3 linked regions of the Stegostoma tigrinum genome follow. The protein of the gene in region 2 interacts with the protein of the main gene of each other region in a biochemical or structural test. Links are inferred from orthologs where the notes say so. Each region holds a gene or a part of one and is shown on either strand. Other genes may lie near its edges.

Region 1 (7,597 bases), on a different chromosome or scaffold from region 2:
AAATGGGTATATTTAAATGGGATGTCAAACAGCCTCCAGTTTGAGAATTCCACAAGTTCACTTCAGGAAATTCACCACTTGTCTAAATGCACCCTCTTATGCTGAGATTAGTACGAGTGCAGGTTCAAGAACTGAACAGTCTATTCCTGCTCTTATGTCCCTATTGTTCCTACAAATTATGCTAGATTATCTCCACAACCAAAATAAAGGCTCAAGGGAGCTACATTAATTTCTCCTCATTAAAACAATTCTGAAGTCTCAAATAGCCATGACTGTGGTTAGCACTTGCCTCAGCACCAAAGGCTAGGTGTCTGTTGGTTTTTAAATCAGGTGCTCTTTTCCTTTTAAATGGAGTCCAAAGGTGCAGGTTAGGTCAACTGACCACACTAAATCACCTTGTCATGTCCAGGAGATTAGATTAGCCAACCATAACTGCAAGGTTACAGCATACATTTTTGAGAGAGATACTAAGCGTTGGCCATTTCTATACTGTAGAAATTCTGCAAGCACACAAGTTAAGCCTCAAAATTGTGCAGGTTCAGCTAAATTTTACAAATTGCATTGCATTATAACAGCCTATTTACTACACAGGACACTGCTGTTTGGCAAGATGCTAAATACTACATTACAAACCCACCGACTCCAACAGCTACCTGGACTATACTATACATCCTCACTCAACTTCCTGTTGAGACACCATCACATTCTGTCAGTTCCACTGTCATGTTCAGATAAGGCCAGCTTTGACGAGAGCCTCCAGGTGTCCACCTTCCTCAACAAGGATCCCACTGCTCCATTGTTGACATGGAGCTCAATTGGGTCCAACACCTCCCACATCTGTCCTCACCCCTTCTTCCCTCCCACTACAGGGATAGGGTCCCTCTTATCCTCACCTACCAGCATACAAATCCAGAAGACTGTCAGACACCATTTCCACCACCTCCAGCAAGACACCACCCCCCAACATTACCCTTGTCCACCACCTGCAGGGACTGTTCCCTCCAGGACACCCTGGTCCATACCTCCTTCACCCTCAACACCTCCCCTGTAACTGGCAAGGTGCAACACCTGCCCATTTACCTCCTCCTGCCCTTGTATCCAGCAGCCCAAACATATCTTCCAAGTGGAGCAACACCTCACCTGTACTTAAGAATCTAGTTGACTGCATTCACTGCTCACAATGTGGTCTCCTCTACACTGGGGAAAACAAAGCACAGACTTGGCAACTGCTTCACAGAAGCAGTATGTTCTGCTTGCAAAAGAGACCCTGAACTACCTGTTGCCTGCCACTGCAATGCACCACCTTGCTCCCTGGCGTTCTAGCTGAAGACCAGCACAAGCTGGAGGAGCCCCTCATTTTCTGCTTGGGGACCCCACAGCCCTCAATACCAAGTGCAATAATTTTAGGGCCTAAACACCCCATGTCCCAGCACCCCCAGCCCCCACACCTGGGGTTGTCAGCCCAGCCTACCATTACACACCCTGTTAGTCACTAACAGTCCCCATTAACAACTAGCCACGATCCCAACCTGATTAGCAACTCCATCTGTCAACTGTTTCTCTCTTTGGGCTCTATCCTATCATTTACTCCTACTTTCTGCATATTGCAGACATTTTCCCAGCCAGTTTTGATAAAGGGTCATCCAACCTAAAACATTAGGTTTTCTCCTTCACAGATGCTGCCAGACCTGCTGAGCTTTTCCAGCAACTTTGTTTTTGTTCCTAACATTTGCAGCATCCAGTTCTTATGTTAAATAAGCTTGCATTCAGAAAGCCTGAACACTGAAGTTGCAGTGTTGCCAGATACTAGCCCACACTTTCAAAACCATTAAGAGACTTGCTAGATGCAAGTGTGATAGACTGTCCCACTGGTGCAGCCCAGAATAAGCTACTGGGTACTAATCCTAGACACCAACAGCAATTGCTTAGAGGGCACAGGGTTGAGAAACTTAGGTTTAATGGTGTTCTACATTCCACCAGCCTAGAATCAGCTTCTGCAGCTTGGGGTAAACATTCATTTTTCCACAACACTACTAGTTCCAGTTAGAAACATCCACCCAAAACAATGGCATCATGTTAATGACTTCACTGACTTCGAGTTAGACACTACAGCAGCTCATGACTTAGTAGTAATTCATGAAATAGTTAACTCGTCCATTCTCTGCATCTTGGCAGAGCTGCAGACTTGTTCCTTGCTTTTTCCAAGATCAGACTCCAATATCTTTCAGGAGTCATTTGCATGAGGACAATTCTGCATCAGCAAAATGACTGGCACTGTTTTACCCACTCAGTGTAAAGAGTAGTCCGTTGGAAAGCCAGGCACTTGGAGCCACTTTCAAACAACATCCCCACCCTCCACTACAGCACCATCACCATTCCACAACATTCTTGCCCCCACTTTTCAACATTGTTGCATCGCCACGAAGCCCCACGCTGACCCCCACATCCTGATACAAGAACACCGCTGCCTTAATCGTTCACCAGCTTCCCCATGTCCCCTTCCCCACCCCCCCCCAAGCTACTACCACCAGTAGGTTAGTGGAGGTGCCGGGTCCGACCCCGGCCTTTCCAGTCCGGGTGCGGGGATGCGGGGGGTGCGCCTTACCTGGCGGACCCTGACAGCTCGGTGTGTCCGGTCCGGGATGCGGAGGCCTCTCTTTCTCTGCCGCTTCAAACGGAGACGGGCCGACTAAACACGGATTCTCTGTTGCTGCTGTTACTGGTGTCTAAGGCAGTGGCCGCCGCTCTCGAGGTGAGGAAACGCCGCGTATGGAAGGCGAGCGATCGCGGGGCACGGCGGCATGAAGAGGCCGGGCAGCGGGGACCGGGAGCGGCCTGGGGAACCATCACAGCCCGAGCTTCCGCACGCACGATCAGTGAACCCGAGACCGACTCTTAATAACCGTACTCCCGCCGGGTAAAGAAAATATATACGTTACAGACACAATCGAACGACCCTCCCCTAGACGAGCGGCCGCTTTAAACCCAAAACAACCGTCCGCGCCTTTTAAAGGCAGCTCCTCTCCCCTACCGACGGCTGATCTCCTCGTCTATTGGTCTTATGGGGCGGGGATCCGCCCACCGGCCACAAGGGGATTGGGTGATATTCACGTCAGTAAATACTTTGCCTATTTCTATTGGTGACCGGCGCAGTCAGTCGTAGAGGGGGGGCCGGGCGAACGTTGGAGCCGCACCTTTGAATCGCCGCCCGCGCCGTGACCGTTAGCCACGCCCTTCATTAACACGTTTAGAGAATCCGACGAACCCATTGGCCGTCGGCCCCGGGTCCCGCCCCACCCCTCATTGACGGACATGGGTTCTCCGCTGCTGATTGACTGGAAGTGCCGTCAGTAATCTGTATCCTAATAGGGCAGGGAAATTTTAACAAACAAAGGACCAACAGGAGGCCACTCTGCCCTTCGAAGCTATTCTCTGTTCAATAAGAAGGAGGAGTAGACGTTAGCCTGGTGGTATTATCGCCAGACTGTTAATTCAGAAATCCAGTAATGCCATGGTAGATGGTCGAGATTAAGTACAATAAAATCTGGAAGTAAAAATCTCATCATGACCCGTATTGATTGTTGAAAAAACCCCATTTTATTCAATGAGATAGTAAGAACTGCAGATGCTGGAGAATCTGAGATTACAAGGTGTGGAGCTGGATGAACACAGCAGACCAAGCAGCATCAGAGGAGCAGGGAGGCTGATGTTTCAGGTCTAGACCCTTCATCTTATTCACTTAAGTATTAGAGAAAGAAGTTGCCTGTTGTGACCAGAAAATGATGCCAGACCCAATGTGTCTGACACTTCAGTTAGGGGTGGGCAATAAATGTTGGCCTCACCAGCGACGTGCACATTCCATGAACGAATTTTTAAAAATCTCTGCCCTTCAAACCTGCTCATCCATTCATTAAGAACATACTAGAAACAGGAGGAGTAAACTACCTTGTGCTCCAGTGCTACATGCTATTCAGAGTAGAAATAGCTGATATGCAAATGAAGAAATGGTGCAAGAGGCAGGATTTCAGTTTTTTGGGACATTGGACCCAGCTCTGGGGGAGGTAGATGCTGTACAAGTTAGATAGATTGCATCTAGGCAGGACCAGAATCGATGTCCTCAATGGAGTATTTACTCAAGCTGTTTGGGAGAGTTTAATCTGAAATGCAAGGGGGGATGGGAACCTATAGAGGGAGACAGAAGAGAAGGAAGTGAGGGGCAAAAATAGAGGAAATGATAGGCGGAGAATTCAAGGGCATGAATCAAACAGAGCCACCATGCAAAGTAATGTGAGAATAGGACTAAGAATATTAAAAGGACAAGCCTTAAGGCATTGTGTCTTAATGTAAGGAGCATTTGCATCAAAGTGAGTGAATTAATCATGCAAATGGATGTCAATGGATATGATAGTGTTGGGGTTACAGAGCTGTGGCTACACGCTGCTAAGGGATGGGAACTGGGAGATTTTCCGTTTAAAGGAAGGATGGACAAAGAGTATGAGAATGCAGGGTAGCTTTGTTTGTTAAAGAGGCTTATCACAATGGTGAGGAAGGCTTTTCGCATGGTGAAGTGGAATCTGCACAGGTAGAGCTGAGAAACACCAAAGTTTTTTTTTCTTTATTCATTCATGGGCTCATTATGAAAAAAAGCTCAAACGAGCTGCAACTTCTGAAAATCAGAAACAAAACCAGGGCTTATTGGAAAATCTCAGCAAGGCTGGAAGCAGAGATGATGGGAACTGCAGATGCTGGAGAATCCGAGATAACGAAGTGTGGAGCTGGATGAACACAGCAGGCCAGGCAGCATCTTGGGAGCACTAAAGCTTCCAAGATAACAAAGTGTGGAGCTGGACTGGAAGAATCCGTGAAGAGAAAGCAGAGTTGGTGTTTCGGGACAGTTCTGAAGAAGGATCAATGGATCTCTAGATGCTGCCAGACCTGCTGGGTTTTTCCTCGCATTTGAGATAACAAGGTGTGGAGCTGGATGAACTCAGCAGGCCCAGCAGCATCTTAGGAGCAGGAAAGCTGACATTTCGGGCCTAAGAGTCTAGACTCGAAATGTCAGTTTTCCTGCTCCTAAGATGCTGCTGGGCCTGCTGAGTTAATCCAACTCCACACTTTGCTATCTCGGATTCTCCAGCATCTGCAGTTCCCATTATCTCTTTTCCTAGCATTTGCTGTTTTTATTATATCCTGGTTACCTGACATTGTTCATGGGGAAAATGCTCGAGTCCATTATCAAAGATTTAATAACACGGGAGTTTGAAAACAGTGACAGGATTGGACAGAGTCAGCGATAGTGGGAACTGCAGATGCTGGAGAATCCAAGATAACAAAGTGTGGAGCTGGATGAACACAGCAGCCAAGCAGCATCTCAGGAGCACAAAAGCTGACGTTTCGGGCCTAGACCCTTCATCAGCTTTTGTGCTCCTGAGATGCTGCTTGGCCTGCTGTGTTCATCCAGCTCCACACTTTGTTATCTTGGACAGAGTCAGCATTCATTTATGAAAGAGAATCGTGTTTGACTGCAAAACTTCAAGGATGTAACAAGTAAAGTTGATAAGAGGGAGTCAGTGGGTGTAGTTACATTTGAGTTCCAGGAGGCACTCAATAAGATCCTACGTAGGAGATTAGCATGCAAAATTAAACCACATTGAGGTAGTGTACTGACATACATAGAGAACAGGTAGGCAGACCAGAAACAAAGAACAGGGATAAATGGGACTTTTTCCAAGTCACAGTCAGTAACTATTGAAACACAAGATAATAAAATGTGAGGCTGGATGAACACAGCAGGCCAAGCAGCATCTCAGGAGCACAAAAGCTGAAGGGTCTAGGCCCGAAATGTCAGCTTTTGTGCTCCTGAGACCCTGCTTGGCCTGCTGCGTTCATCCAGCCTCACACTTTATTATCTTGGATTCTCCAGCATCTGCAGTTCCCATCATCTCTGAAACTATTGAAACACTGCAGGATCAGTGGTTAGATCCCAGCTGTTCACAGTATATATTAATGCTTTAGTTGAGGGAACTAAATGTAATGTCTCCAAGTTTGCAGATGAATGCAAAGTTAGGTGTGAGAGTGATCTTGTAAGGAGGATGTAGAAATGCTTCAGTGTGATTTGCCCAAGTTGAGTGAGTGAGTAAACACATGAAACATGTAGTGTAATATGGATAAACATCAGGTTATCCACTTTGGTAGGAAAAAAACAGACAGGTAGATTATTATCTGAATGGTGGTAGATCGTAAAAAGGGGAGTGTGCAACAAGACCTTGATGTCATTGTACACCTGCCAATGAAACTAAGCAGGTGCAGCGGGCAATGAAGAGGAATGTGTAACAGGATTAGACAGGGTAAATGCAGGAAGGATATTTCCAGTAACTCGGGAATGAAGAACCAGAGATCACGGTCTTAGGATATGGGATAGGCCATTTAGGACTGAGACACGGAAATATTTTTTCACCCAAAAAAATGGTGAGCCCGAGGAATTCACAGCAATAGCCAGTGGTTGAGGCCAAAGCATTGTATGTTTTCAAGAAATTATAAATAAACCGGTTGGACTATAACCTGGTGTTGTGTGATTTCTGACCTTATCCACCAACACTTCCATATCACATTTTCAAAAAAGGGCAAGATTCAGTTCTTTGGGTAAAGGGATCGAAGTGTATGAGGAGAAAGCAGGCAGAGGGTGCTGAGTTGGATGATCAGTCATGGTTGTAACGAATGGCGGATGAGGCTCGAAGGGTTGAATAACCTATTTTCCATGTTTCGAGAACTGAAACAGTCTTGATGTTTAACAGGTTCAAAACATGCTTGTTAAAATCTGAAAAATAAATCAACTTCCTACATCCGTACAAATTTCTTTCTCTCCACTAATATGACATGGACGGCACGGCGGCTCAGTGTTTAGCACTGCTGCCTCACAGCGCCAGGGACCCGGGTTCGATTCCATCCTCGGGCGACAGTGTGGAGTTTGCACATTCTCCCCGTGTCTGCGCGGGTTTCCTCCCACATTCCAAAGATGTGCAGGCTAGGTGGATCAGCAATGCTAAATTGCCCGTCGTGTTCAGGGATGTGTAGATTGGGTGGGTTATACGGGAATGCTCCAAGGGTGGATTTGGATTTGATGGCGTGAAAGGCCTGTTTCCACACTGTAGGGATTCAACAATGATGACACAATATTGACTTTATCATGATATACTTGTGAAAGCTAACTGCTTAAACTTTATTCTTTCATGGATCACAAGCACTGCTGTTTAGGCAATCCTAATTTGACCCCCATCCCTATTTACCCTTGGCAGGGAATTGGGAAGCTGCAGTCCTGACTGTTGCCGGAATTTGGGGTGTGACCACCATGTTGTTTGGAAGTGAGTTCCAGGATTTTGACCCAGTGAATCTGAAGGAACAGTGATATATTTCCAGATCAGAATAGAGCAAGCATCTGCTGCCTTTACACCTCTTAGTGTTACAGGTTGCGGGTTTAGAAGGAGATATCAAAAGTTTCTTTAGTGCACCTTGCATTGTCATCAATTATCCCTCCACTTGAGAATGATGTTTACTCAATGACAAGAGTTTCTCCCAAGGGTATTTTTCAGTCACTGGT
Region 2 (7,111 bases):
TTCCAATTGGCTGAAGACTCATAAACTGTGATGGTGGGGACCACTGCAGGAGGCAGAGATGGATCACTCACACGGAACTTCTAGCTGAAAATTGCTGCAAATACTTCAGCTTTATCTTCTGCACTCTTGTGCTTGACCTGTGTAGGTCCCCAAACCACACCTCTTCCTCCGTTACATTGATGAATGTATCGGCGCTGCCTCTTGTTCCCCAGAGGAGCTCGAACAGTTCATCCACTTTACCAACACCTTCTACCCCAACCTCAAGTTCACCTGGGCCATCTCCAACACATCCCTCACCTTCCTGGGCCTCTCAGTCTCCATCTCAGGTAACCAGCTAGAAACTGATGTCCATTTCAAGCCCACTGACTCCCACAGCTACCTAGAATACATCTCCTCCCACCCACCCTCCAGCAAAAATTCCATCCCCTATTCCCAATTCCTCCGCCTCCACCACATCTGCTCCCAAGATGAGGCATTCCACTCCCGCACATCCCAGATGTCATGTTCTTCAAGGACTGCAACTTTCCCCCCTCAGTGGTTTAGAACGCCCTTGACCGCGTCTCCCGCATTTCCTGCAACACATTCCTCACACCCCGCCCCTGCCACAACCGTGCCCAGAGGATCCCCCTCATTCTCACATACCACCCCACCAACCAACGTATCATCCTCCGTCACTTCCGCCATCTGCAATCCGACCCCACCACCCAAGCTATTTTTCCATCCACACCCTTATCTGCCTTCCGGAGAGACCACTCTCTCCGCGACTCCTTTGTCCGCTCCACACTCCCCTCCAACCCCACCACACTTGGCACCTTACCCTGCAACCGCAGGAAGTGCTACACTTGCCCCCACACCTCCTCCCTCACCCCTATCCCAGGCCCCAAGATGACCTTCCATATCAAGCAGATGTTCACCTGCACATCTGCCAACGTGGTATATTGTATCCATTGCACCCGGTGTGGCTTCCTCTACATTGGGGAAACCAAGCGGAGGCTTGGGGACCGCTTTGCAGAACACCTCCGCTGGGTTCGCACCCAAAACCAGCCCAGCTCATCCCCTCCCCCCACTGCATCCAAAACCAGCCCAGCCTGTCTCTGTTTCCCTAACCTGTTCTTCCTCTCACCCATCCCTTCCTCCCACCTCAAGCTGCACCTCCATTTCCTACCTACCACTTCATCCCGCCTCCTGGACTGACCAATCCCCTCCCCACCTCCTCACCTATACTCCCCTCTCTACCTATCTTGTGTTCTCTCCATCTTCGGTCCGCATTCCCCTCTCTCCCTATTTATTTCCAGTTCCCTCTCCCCATCCCCCTCCCTGATGAAGGGTCTAGGCCCGAAACGTCAGCTTTTGTGCTCCTGAGATGCTGCTTGGCCTGTTGTGTTCATCCAGCTCCACACTTTGTTATCTTGGATTCTCCAGCATCTGCAGTTCCCATTATCAGTGCCTAATGAATGCCCAGTCTTGAGTTGCTAGATCTGTTTGAAGTCTGTCCCACTTAGCACAATGGCGGTGCCACACAATGTGTTATTCTCAACATGATCGCAGGACTTCGCCTCCCAAAGAACTGTGAGGTGGTCACTCTTACCAATACTGTCACGGGCCAATACATCTGTAGCTGACAGATTGGTAAGCACAAGGTCAAGGCATTTTTCCCCCTCTTGTTGGTTCCGTCACCGCCTGCTGCAGACCCAATCTAGCAGCTACGTCCTTTTGGACCCATCCAACTCAGTCATACTACTGCCAAGCCACTCTTGCAGGTGAACGTTGTGGGTGAGGGGTTTCAGTCAGCTGGATTTTACAACATTTTTTTAATTACCAGGCCAGTGACATGAACACAATGTTGCTGCCTCCCCTCAAATGATCATGTCACCCGCTAACCAATCAAGCCCTCAAAAGGTGACACAGATCAAACAGACCAACAGAAAGTCAAGAAACAATAACTTTTAAGCAGTGTCTAATATAATTGTCCCAAGGCACTTCATAAGAACACCATCCTTTAATTTGCTGCAGTAGGACTTGTAAGGATCTATAAAGGAGCATCATGAAGTAGAGTTACAACAATTCAAAGTATTTATATTGCCAGGAATGCCACTGTCTCTCAATTTTTTTTTCCTTCTACCTTGTTCATCTCACAAATGTAGTTTAACAAAGAGAAAGCTTGTCTCAAAAGAGTCTTATATTTGGCTAAGCAGTCTTTAAATAAGGACAAAAAAGCTATTAGAGATAAGTTTGCAACTTAGAAAATAAATGTTAAAACCAACCAACAGACATGTTCCAAATATATAAAAGATTTTGAAATAACAGGCCTATCGGACTCATTAAAAGTAATAGTATACACCCCTGTTTAAAAAAAAAACACCTTTTCACATTTTTCGCCTCTAATGTGTAAATAGAACACTCAGAATGTCCTCGTGTCTTTATTGAATTATGGTAATGTTTTCTATTTCTGTGAAACAGATGATCTACCATAGGTAACCAAGCTATTTAAAAATCGAAAGAACTGCGAATGCTGTAAATCAGAAACTAAAATAGAAATTGCTGAAAAAGCTCAGCAGGTCTGGCAGCATCTGCGGTGAGAAATCAGAGTTAACGTTTCGGGTCGAGTTCCGAAGAAGGATCACTCGATCCGAAACACTGGGTCTGATTTCTCTCCACCGATGCTGCCAGATCTGCTGAGCTTTTTCTAGCATTTTCTGTTTTTGCAATCAGGCTGCTTGTTGGGGTGTTACGTTCTGTCTAAATGCTGGAGTTTTTTTTCTGAAATGCGTTTCTTTGCTCATCAGTTAGAGATACTGTCTGACAATGAATTATAAATGATAATAAACCCAAAATCTATCAAACTTCAATTCTGGAACATACACCAGAAAACTTACAAATAGCACCGAAAGATATTTTTATAACCTAGCCGCTTGGAATTTTACACTTAAATAATCATAACGGATAACCATCCAAGTATACTTACTCTCTTGTTGTATTACAATAAATAAAGCATAAATTCTTCACTTCAAAGTAAATTGACAATTCTACTCCATATAAGCTGCCATATTGAAAGGAAATAAAATGATCTTCAGGCACAGCGCGCAGGTGATTGACATCTGTGTGAACCAATCAGGTGCGCTACCATGTGCTGGAGGGCGGCTCACCATGACGTTAGTGAAAGCGAGTCGCAGTCATCAATGCGCATGTGGGTGTGCGCGAGGAATTCCGTTACAGTCGCGCGGACCGGTCTCCTCCCACTCTCCAGACGGTTGAGCATTTGCGCATGTGTAGCATGTCGGTTTGAGGTCGTGACTTTCCTGCGATGTGGGCTTGTTGGCAGATGGCGGTTGTCAGCCGGTGATTACTGGAGAGTAGGTGAGACGGGCCGAGGATGAAAGAGAATGGGGAGGCTAAGCAGATGGAAGTGGACGCCGAGTCGAGAATGCAGATCCCCGCTGTGGACAGGGAAGTGGTGCAGGGTCTCGGCAGGAGCTTGAAGCAGAAGTGCGCCGCGTATGTGCTTGCACTGCGGCCCTGGAGCTTCAGCGCCTCGCTTACCCCTGTTGCCCTGGGTACGGCCCTGGCTTACAAGAATCTGGGCGAGCTCGATCTGACCATTTCCCTACTGGCTGCCTTGGCCGTGCTGGCCGTACACGCAGCCGGTAACCTAGTGAACACTTATTACGACTTCAGCAGGGGCATCGATCATAAGAAGAGCGACGACCGGACCCTGGTGGACCGGATCCTAGAGCCACAGGACGTGGTGCGGTTCGGAGCCTGCCTCTACACTCTGGGCTGCCTCTGCGCCTGTTCCCTCTACTTTTTGTGCAAACTCAAACTTGAGCACTTAGCTCTGATCTTTTTCGGTGGCCTATCCAGCTCTTTTCTGTACACGGGAGGTAAGTAAGAAGGAAAAGAAGCAGGATGTTCCCTTATTTCAGTTTAGACCTTTAGCTGGAGACGATTCACTTATTTTGCTCTGAAGAAGAATCGCCAGGCTCGAAGAGATAACTCTGTTTTCGCTCCGCAAATACTACGAGACTTGTTGAATTGCTCTGGCAATTTCTCTTTTTGTCTCAGATTTCCAGCATGAGCAGTTGTTAATTGTAATATTTTGTCGTTGTGTTGTTTTGTTATAGAGTCATGCAGAACAAAAACAGATCCTTCGGTCCAACTTGTGTTGCGTCAACCAAACATCTCAATCTGATTTAGTCCTATTTGCCAGCATTTAGCTCATATCCCTCTAAACTCTTACTCACACACCCATCCAGATGCCTTTTAAATGTTGTAATTGTACCTGCTTTCTCTACTTGCACTGGTAACTCCGCACCACTCTGCGTGAAAAAGTTATGCCTTAGGTACTCTTAACTCTTTCCCCTATCACCTTAAATCTACGCCCTCTAGTTTTGAACTCCCCAACAGTAGGGAAAAGACCCCTCTATCCTCTATCCATCCATTTCTATTAACTCACTTTTGCTGCTTGCTGTTTTGGAAAAATAGTTTTGAAAGTGATACGGCTGGTTTCTGTTCATGCCTAGATGCCTAATAAGCTATCTGAAAACCACATGTATTAACTTGATGTGTTTTTAAAAATATGAATTTTGGAAATCTGAAACTGTGTGGGTAAATCAGTATGAATGTGAGAGAGAGACAATTTTCATCAGAGCTGAATTATTTTTATTTCAAAAGAAATAGTGATTGGCAAATAATGTTGCTGTCTCCTTTGCTTGTTTTCATTTGTAACTTCCCTAGTTTGACTTTGTTACCTATTGCCACAGAAGGAAATGAGATGCAGAATGGCTCAAATATGTCTATTGTTAAGAATGACCAATTTCTATCTCGTAGTTTAACTGACAATTGCCTTTTTTTCTGTAATTATTCTTGTGATTAAAAGGCAAATTCTGCATAATAACACATTTTTCTACATTTAATTGTAAGAGAAATTGTCTCACATCCCATAGTAAGCTGAGAGTAACATACCTGATTCAAAGGAGGAGAGGCTTGAAAACTTCAAATTCTGGGCTAAGAGGTATTCTGAAAAATAGAATAAGAAAAAAGACAAGAGGGAGGTGGCAGTATTGATCAAACAAATTATTTCACTCTCTAGAAAGGCATGACGCACATGGATTTAGGATAGTCTTTTCATAGAATTGAGGCACGGCTTGCTGCCAAGTGTATATACTAGGCACCAGACCAAAGGAGGTAGAAGAGCAAACAGCAGAAATTTTCATGAACTGGAAAGTAGTAATAATGACACCTTTTCATGAACTGGAAAGTAGTAATAATGACATCTCCTACCGCCCCCTCGATCATGACCCCACACCCGAGCACCAAACCATCATCTCCAACACCATTCACGACCTCATCACCTCAGGGGACCTCCCACCCACAGCCTCCAACCTCATTGTTCCCCAACCCCGCACGGCCTGTTTCTATCTCCTTCCCAAAATCCACAAACCTGCCTGCCCTGGTCGACCCATCGTCTCAGCCTGCTCCTGCCCCACCGAATTCATCTCCACCTATCTGGACTCCATTTTCTCCCCTTTGGTCCAGGAACTCCCCACCTACGTCCGTGACACCACCCACGCCCTCCACCTCCTCCAGGACTTCCAATTCCCTGGCCCCCAACACCTCATATTCACCATGGACGTCCAGTCCCTGTACACCTGCATTCCGCATGGAGATGGCCTCAAGGCCCTCCGCTTCTTCCTGTCCTGCAGGCTCGACCAGTCCCCCTCCACTGACACTCTCATCCGCCTAGCTGAACTCGTCCTCACACTCAACAACTTCTCTTTTGACTCCTCCCACTTCCTACAGACTAAGGGGGTGGCCATGGGCCCCAGCTATGCCTGCCTCTTTGTAGGTTATGTGGAACAGTCCCTCTTCCGCACCTACACAGGCCCCAAACCCCACCTCTTCCTCCGGTACATTGATGACTGTATCGGCGCCGCCTCTTGCTCCCCAGAGGAGCTCGAACAGTTCATCCACTTCACCAACACCTTCCACCCCAATCTTCAGTTCAACTGGGCCATCTCCAGCACATCCCTCACCTTCCTGGACCTCTGTCTCCATCTCAGGCAACCAGCTTGTAACTGATGTCCATTTCAAGCCCACCGACTCCCACAGCTACCTAGAATACACCTCCTCCCACCCACCCTCCTGCAAAAATTCCATCCCCTATTCCCAATTCCTCCGCCTCCGCCGCATCTGCTCCCACGATAAGACATTCCACTCCCGCACATCCCAGATGTCCAAGTTCTTTAAGGACCGCAACTTCCCCCCACAGTCATCGAGAACACCCTTGACCGCGTCTCCCGTATTTCCCGCAACACATCCCTCACACCCCGCCCCCGCCACAACCGCCCTAAGAGGATCCCCTTCGTTCTCACACACCACCCTACCAACCTCCGGATACAACGCATCATCCTCCGACACTTCCGCCATTTTACAATCCGACCCCACCACCCAAGACACTTTTCCATCCCCACCCCTGTCTGCTTTCCGGAGAGACCACTCTCTCCGTGACTCCCTTGTTCGCTCCACACTGCCCTCCAACCCCACCACACCCGGCACCTTCCCCTGCAACCGCAGGAAATGCTACACTTGCCCCCACACCTCCTCCCTCACCCCTATCCCAGGCCCCAAGATGACATTCCACATTAAGCAGAGGTTCACCTGCACATCTGCCAATGTGGTATACTGCATCCACTGTACCCTGTGCGGCTTCCTCTACATTGGGGAAACCAAGCGGAGGCTTGGGGACCGCTTTGCAGAACACCTCCGCTCAGTTCGCAACAAACAACTGCACCTCCCAGTCGCAAACCATTTCCACTCCCCCTCCCATTCTCGAGATGACATGTCCATCATGGGCCTCCTGCAGTGCCACAATGATGCCACCCGAAGGTTGCAGGAACAGCAACTCATATTCCGCCTGGGAACCCTGCAGCCATATGGTATCAATGTGGACTTCACCAGTTTCAAAATCTCCCCTTCCCCTACTGCATCCCTAAACCAGCCCAGTTCGTCCCCTCCCCCCACTGCACCACACAACCAGCCCAGCTCTCTCTCCCCCCCCCCCCCCCCCCCCCCCAACCCACTGCATCCCAAAACCAGTCCAACCTGTCTCTGC
Region 3 (7,124 bases), on a different chromosome or scaffold from region 2:
ATTCACTGTGGGTCATGATGATGTCCTCCTATTCTTTTCACATATGTTACATTTACCTCTGATCACCTTCAAATTTTTAGTGTATTCATTCTTTACTTGCATTTTTAATCAATGAGAAAATGGATGCCAATGAAATTTTAAGGAAACTAGCATTTTCTCCTTTAAACTTCTTTCAGTTGATACCAATCGCACCTGTTTAACATTTTGATTAGAGGAGATAGTCTTGATTAATGGAATACAATAATGGCTGGATTTTGTACACTGTAAATCAACTGAGTTTATAAAAACAAATGCTATGAATGCCTCGTATGCATTTAACAGATACTTTTTCTTTTATAATTCTTGTCCTTAAAGGTCTATAAATGATCAAAACCTTCATCAGTGTCTATTTCTAAACATTTGCAACCGAGCCTGTTTTTAATGGGAAGTATCAGTGCCAAAACCAGATGTAATTTTCCCTTTGGTAAGATTGTAACAGTTATATGTATCTCTACTTACATGTTTTCATGATGTAAGTTTGAGTTTCACAGAACTTAGGTAATAATTCAGAGGCCCGAGTTGATCTGGGAATGTGGGTTTAAATTTTACACACAACATGCGCTGACATTAAAATTCAAATGGTTAAAAAATCTAAAATTGGAAGTTTGTCTCAGTTGCTGTCATTTATGAAGCTATCATAAATTTTCATAAAAACCCCATCTGAGGGTCTTATGACCTGTGGTAGTGCCCATATCTCTGGACCAGAAGATCTTAGTTCTAGTTCTACCTGTTCTGGAGGTGAGTTATAACATGTCCATGGAGGTTGATTGAAAAACTTTTATGGTTTGTCTGTCTCCACTTATATGGTCTGGCCTGTGATGGTACCAGACCCACAATAATGTGCTTGTGTCTGAGCTACTCACTGAAATTACCTAGCAAGCCAATCTGTCGTACCAGACTGCAACATGAGCTATGCAACATAGGCATAAAGAATCATAAGTGTGGTGCTTTGTGACCATATTCCAGTCAGTATCAGTCAGTTCTGTCAGTAAAGGAGAGATGAAAAAAATGCTTCTATAATAACTGTACCAGTAAGTGTTTAAAAATGTATTCAGAAGCCTGCTAACTGCCAGTAGGCAGACAATATCAGACGAGTTCACTACAGCTAAACAGTTAAGTTTCGTAATTGTGATTGTTCATTCTAAACTCTGAACCATTTTATATCATATTGTTAAGGTCTCCTGTGACTAACCTAAAACGTAACTACTGATTATACACTGAGGCAGAAATGTCTGTATGCATGCACCCACTAAATTCTTCCAGAGAAGCATTAGCCCCAGTGGGTACTCTAATGATGCAACTGGATCTGGAATTCCAGGAAACTCAAGGATCATAGCCAGCTGTATTTACTAGCAAACACAGCACTAAAAACAAATTGCATCCATGCTGCACCTAAAGAATACTAAAAAGGTCCCAAGATTAAACATTAGAATTGCCAAAAGAAAATATGACAATGAGCCAAAGAAGGCTAAAGGAAACAAATCATAATATCAGAGATAGCAAGAACTGCAGATGGAGTCAGAGACAACAGTGTGGAGCTGGAGGAACACAGCAGGCCAGGCAGCATCAGAGGAGCAGGAAAGTTGACATTTCCGGTTGGGACCCTTCTGCAGAAATGAGGAGGGGGGAGGGAGCTGGGAAATAAATAGGAGGGGTGGGGCTGGGGAAAGTAGATAGGATAGTGATAGTTGAGTAGGGAGTGGTGGGGATTGGTCAGTGAGGTAGGAGAGATGGATAGGTGGAAGAGAAGATGGACAGGTTATGTCAGGTCAAGGGGATAAGATGGAGAGTTGGACTTTGAATGAGGCCGGGTGTGGGGAGATTTTAAAAATGGTGAATTCCATGTTTAGACCATTGGGCTGTAGGCTCCTGAGGCAGAATATGAGGTGTTGCTCTTCCAGTTTGCGGGTGGTGTCATTGTGACGCTGGAAGAGACCCAGGATTGACATGTCCCCAAGGAAGTGGGAGGGTGAGTTAAAATGGTTGCCAACCGTAAGGTATTGACGTTTGTCACGTACAAAACGCGGATGCTCTACGAGATGGTCTCTGAGCCTATGCTTGGTCTCACTGATGTACAGGAGCCCAATCGGGAGCAGCGCATACAGTAGACCAAGTTGAAGGGTGTGCAGGTGAACCACTGTCTGATATGAAAGGTTTGTTTTGGGCCTTGAATGGAGGTGAAGGGGGAGATATGGGGACAGATATAGTACTTGCTGCGGTTGAAGGGAAAAGTGCAGTGGGTGGTGGGGCTAGTGGGAAGTGTAGATTGGATGAGAGAGTCACTGAGAGAGTGGTCCATACGAAAGGTAGATAAGGTGGGAAGGGACACATATCTTGGGTTGTGGGGTTAGATTGTAGGTGGTGGAAATGATGGAGAATGATACTTTGGAGGTTGGTGGGGTGATATGTGAGGACAAGGGAGATTCTGTCTTTAGTTTTTTTGAGGGTGCCTATCACCATCCCACCTACCTTCCCCAGCCTCACCTCTCCACTCAATTTATTTCCTAGCTCCCTTCCCCCTCTCTGTTTCTGAAGAAGGGCCCTGACCCGAAACGTCAACTTTCCTTCTCCACTGATGCTGTCTGGCCTCATAATCTCAAGAGTTGATTTTAATTTTCTATTCAAATTCTGGAAGTTTGGAAAACATGGCAATTGTCAGGAGAAGTCTGACAGAGGTCTGTTGATTGATCTAATCTCTTTCATTGTTGACAGTCCTGCTGTGTTCTGACAATATATCCTGTTTTTATTGTACTATAAGCTACATTTGTGATGAAATATTCCTGCCTGCGGGGAATTTTGAGTGGGTTAATTTACTGGAACAGACGATATTAAGAACTTAATGCAAATATTGCCTCATTGGCTGCTGCAGGAGATTTAAATAACACATAACAACAAATCTCCCCCACAACAATAACCTGTTATTTTGTATCCGAACGTACTAACCTACAGTCCCGGTAAAATGTCCATCTAGCATTGCAAAAATAGACGTATTTATTATTTTTGAGCACTGGATGATAAGGTGTTTAAGAGAAGGATGAACTTCTAAATTCAGCTTGGATTGAGCAAATCACGAAATTGCAATAATTACGAATGGTAGGTATCTTCGCCGTTCCGATATGAGAATGAAATAGTGGGGGCGGGGTGATGCAAAAAGTTTCAACTTCACGAAAGGTCATTGATGACAAACGCGAATTTCTACTTGCCAACAAATGTTGGCTAGCCTCCTAAGCATTTCGTGCACATTTCTCTGATAATTTCTGATTTTCCTTTGCTTTAATGGAAATGCATGGGTACAAAGACAGGTATAGACCTGTTTGCAGATTTTATCCTCACTGCTGCGTATCACAAAAAAACCTTTCTTTGCTTATAAGGGATCATCAGCAATTTTCACATCCTGAGCAAGGACCACCGAACCCGCATGTTAACTAATTTCTCTCCACAGATGTTGCCAGACCTGCTGAGATTTACGAGCAATTTGTTTTTTTTATTTCCCATCCTGGGTCCTAACTTAGCAGTGTAATAATTCTATTCATGCAAAGGAAATTGAGACAATATTGTTAGTTTTAGTTTCAAAAGCCCATTATAATTTCAGCAATCATAATGTAGTTTTTCAAAGTGATGAGAAATATGCAAAATATTGCATTAAACCACAAGCAATTGCCTGCTTTCCTTTTTTTAAGCGTGGAGGGGAAATAAAAGGTTTAGTCATTTGATTGACAGCAAAACTCCCATCAATTTGGGCTCTGGCACTGGCTCGCAAATGTGAAGACGTCATCGCTGCCAGGAACTCAGATGACTTCGCAGCGCCGGCTGTTCCACGGAGCGCTCTATCCTCCCACCGATCAGCGCTTCCGGTGCCACGCGATTCTACAGGCGCGTGCGTGAATCCGGAGGGAGGGAGGCAGCGGGCGGCACTGCCGTGCGGGGGGCGTGGTACACCTCAACAGAACTTGCCGCCCCCTTCCTCGCTCCGATTGGTCGAAACCAAGCGGGAGGCGGGATGTCCCAGGAAACAGGCCGTCCGTTGATTCGTCGAGCAGGCTGTCATTCGTGGTCAGCACCGTCGGTTGTAGAGCTCCTGAAGGAGGGGGAGGGGATCACTTTTTAAAAAAAATCTTTTCGGCCGAAGTGCGTCAAGAAAAATCATCGAATCGACAGGTTTTTTTTGACATTGTATTTGAAGTAAAAAGTGGATCAAAGATCGCCGTGTTCGTGGCGTTGACGGAATTAAGAATGTCCCAGCCGTAGGTCGTGGTGTCAGAAAGTTGGGGTTGTCAGTCTGGAAACTTTTATTGCCGCAGGTACAGTATGTCTTGTATTCCTTTTTATTTGTAGCAGGCCTAGACACCCCGTCAACAAAATGCCAAGCTGAAACTTGCAGCAAGTCTTGAGTTACCAAGTAATTTAACAGGTGGAAATAAAACGAAGCATTTTGACAAGAGGGGGTTTGGGCCCGAAATGTTGACTTTCCTGCTTGTCTGATGCTGTTTGACGTGCTGTGTTTTCCCAGCCTCACACCAAGAGACAAAAGGCACAGTGACAGATGAAATCCTGTGGATTTTTGTCTCCCAGGCTGCTGAATCTTATCCACAATCAGTGTGACACAGGGATGTGGCAGTTACTGATTTCCAAATGGATCATGTATTGAAAGCATACAAGGCTTTTGGGCTTCTGTATTAAGTCTTTTAGAAGAGCAGTCTGTTCCGAGGGAAATGGATTGTTAACGCCTGACTCGTCTTTCTCCACCGCGCTTCCCCCCCCCCCCCCCCCCCAAAAAGGCACAAAATGTAGGAGATAGCACTTATTAACTGAGCTGTTGTTCTTCAGCGGCCGCTAACAGGAAGTGGGATGGCTGTGTTAAAGGGAAGAGTTCTGGACGCATGATTAATGTATTTATCAGTTTCTGTTGAAGGTTTAGTGCTCAACTAGCATTTTGTCACAGAATAGTGCATTTACTTTACATTTGCACGCAATAAGTACAATGTAGCAGCAATTAATCTTTGCAAATATTGTATGTTGGCTTGTAACCCTTTAACAAAGGATTATTTATGGAAACTGCGTTGTGCCATGTTTTAAATCCAAACTTGACAGTAGACCATTCTATTTACTTATGCAATTTTGATTCGGCATGTGGAGTTTTTTTTGCATTTCCATGTTGTTGATTAGCTACATCTAATTTGAATGAAACGTTAACCAGATTTAATCACAATCGATGTGGTTTATCATTGAAAAGTTTTACATAAAGGAAATAAACAAGTAAATCTGGAGATGCCTTATGACAAGGGTGGGCTGTTTGCTGACAGTGTGATGAAACAGTTCTTAACTGGGGAGACATGATGCATGCTGTTTATTGGTTGAACTGCAATGTTTTTACATTTAATTTGTTGAACTTAGATTTTCCCAAATCATTATGTATATTCAAAACAATACTAAAATGGTGGAGAACTCTGGTAACCCTATGTCTTCCCCATGATGCAGTCAGTAGCTATTTTAATTTTGGGTATTTCAATACCTGTTCTGTATTGCAATGTGGAACCAACTCTGCCACTTGTGGTTATAATAAACGATTGAACATTATTTCAGGTTTGATCATTTTGACACAAGACAATGCTGCTAGGGTTTGTTTCAGTTCTCAGCAAAATCACAATATTACTCACTTACTGATGTTTTAGTTTCTATTAGTGATACAACAAGTGCCAGACAACTCTACATGTTAGCCTCTCATAACCCTGTAAATGGATTGTTCCAAAGTCAATGCTGTGTTTGGCATCAGGAATTTTTAATTCCTGGAATATTAAGTGAAAATTCATTTTGTTTTTGAGAATGGAGAAAATATTGGCCCAGATCAAGTTAAATCTGGTGCTGTATTCAGTTGGACTAAACAATACCTTTTAAAGATAACATAATGCTTCAAATCGTATCAACAATTATTTATGAAAATGTCATGCATATTTTGTTTTTCTTGAGTCATCATTTCTTTCTGCGCACAACATACATTTTTGGGGGAAAAAAATCAGGAACACATTTTCCCTGCCTTTTAACTTTGAATTTATGTTGTCTTACTCCAGTAATTGACTCCTTTTCTGTTTTCTCTCCCTTTGATCACTTTTCTGCCGAGTGATTTTGTGACTATTCTTTATTCATTATGTTTTTAAAATTTATCCACTTACGTTGTTCACTATCAGTTCGTTATATATCTGAGTTATTTCTTTCTGCCTTTCAGTGTTAAACTGTGGTAAAGCTGCATCGAAAAAATAGAAAAATTCTGCATGTCAGCTGAAACAATCAGGTAAACTAATGTACTTTATTACTGTACCATCCCATCATGGATGTTTTTCTCAGTTCCTAGCGCTAAATATTACAAATGGCTTCAAAGTTATGTCTCTTTTAAGATGCATTAAGATTATTACTAAAAACATCATGAATTGTGTACTTTTTATATTGTAAATTTAAGAATTTGGAAAATAGTTTTGTTTGAAAGGAGGAAGTACAGTTCATAATTGTGAATTTTAAGACTGTTATGTGGGCAATCCTGGCTGAATGTAACTTCAGTTTTCCCAGATTTTAAAGCTGAATTTTAAGTAAACTGATTTTGAAACCAGAAGCAGAAGATGTAATATTTTAATTGCTTTACAAGAATGAGGAAGGATACTGCATTTTAGAGGTTATGCATTGATAGTGATTTGAAAGACCAAACTTGTTACAGTACCTTGTGAAGAGGAACATCATTGTATTTTCCAGTTCTTTAGAAAGGGGAAAAATAATTTTCTTGGTCAAATGTTTATTTTCTTACTCGTAACATCAATTGTAGTGAGATACATCACCTGAGCATAGTTTAAAAGCTGCAACTGTTTCAAAATACATAAAAAGTTGTGCATATGAAGGCTTGTTTGTTTCAAAATATCGTGATGGAAGTCTTTTTCATATGTAAATTCAAATTATTTTAGAACTTGGATTTTGAAACAAGTGGAAAGCTGGAACTGTGAATTTAAAAACAAATCAGTGTGAGAGAGTTCCTGGAGTGCAAATGAGAATTTGTTTGCATTGAGAGAGTTTTAGCAGCTGTCAGAGTACATGGGGTTGCT

The links. The genes of interacting proteins can lie anywhere in the genome.
Region 1: of the proteins of mtor (region 2) and repressor of RNA polymerase III transcription MAF1 homolog, one has a biochemical effect on the other in vitro, tested with the Homo sapiens proteins (2 studies listed by BioGRID and IntAct). The link is inferred for Stegostoma tigrinum from reciprocal best matches to the Homo sapiens genes MTOR and MAF1.
Region 3: the proteins of mtor (region 2) and stat3 form a complex in vitro, tested with the Homo sapiens proteins (2 studies listed by BioGRID, with this or other methods). The link is inferred for Stegostoma tigrinum from reciprocal best matches to the Homo sapiens genes MTOR and STAT3.

Annotation. Positions count from the first base shown.
Region 1 is NC_081355.1:159,834,984-159,842,580, reverse strand, and holds the start of repressor of RNA polymerase III transcription MAF1 homolog, read right to left. Parts: upstream 3,041-7,597; 5' UTR 2,606-3,040; intron 1-2,605. UniProt on the Homo sapiens protein: Plays a role in the repression of RNA polymerase III-mediated transcription in response to changing nutritional, environmental and cellular stress conditions to balance the production of highly abundant tRNAs, 5S rRNA, and other small non-coding RNAs with cell growth and maintenance.
Region 2 is NC_081381.1:39,046,199-39,053,309, reverse strand, and holds the start of mtor (serine/threonine-protein kinase mTOR), read right to left. Parts: upstream 3,066-7,111; 5' UTR 2,966-3,065; intron 1-2,965. Other genes in the region: ubiad1 (ubiA prenyltransferase domain-containing protein 1), read left to right, coding at 3,374-3,881. UniProt on the Homo sapiens protein: Serine/threonine protein kinase which is a central regulator of cellular metabolism, growth and survival in response to hormones, growth factors, nutrients, energy and stress signals.
Region 3 is NC_081384.1:14,624,628-14,631,751, reverse strand, and holds the start of stat3 (signal transducer and activator of transcription 3), read left to right. Parts: upstream 1-4,084; 5' UTR 4,085-4,340; intron 4,341-6,262; 5' UTR 6,263-6,328; intron 6,329-7,124. UniProt on the Homo sapiens protein: Signal transducer and transcription activator that mediates cellular responses to interleukins, KITLG/SCF, LEP and other growth factors. Once activated, recruits coactivators, such as NCOA1 or MED1, to the promoter region of the target gene.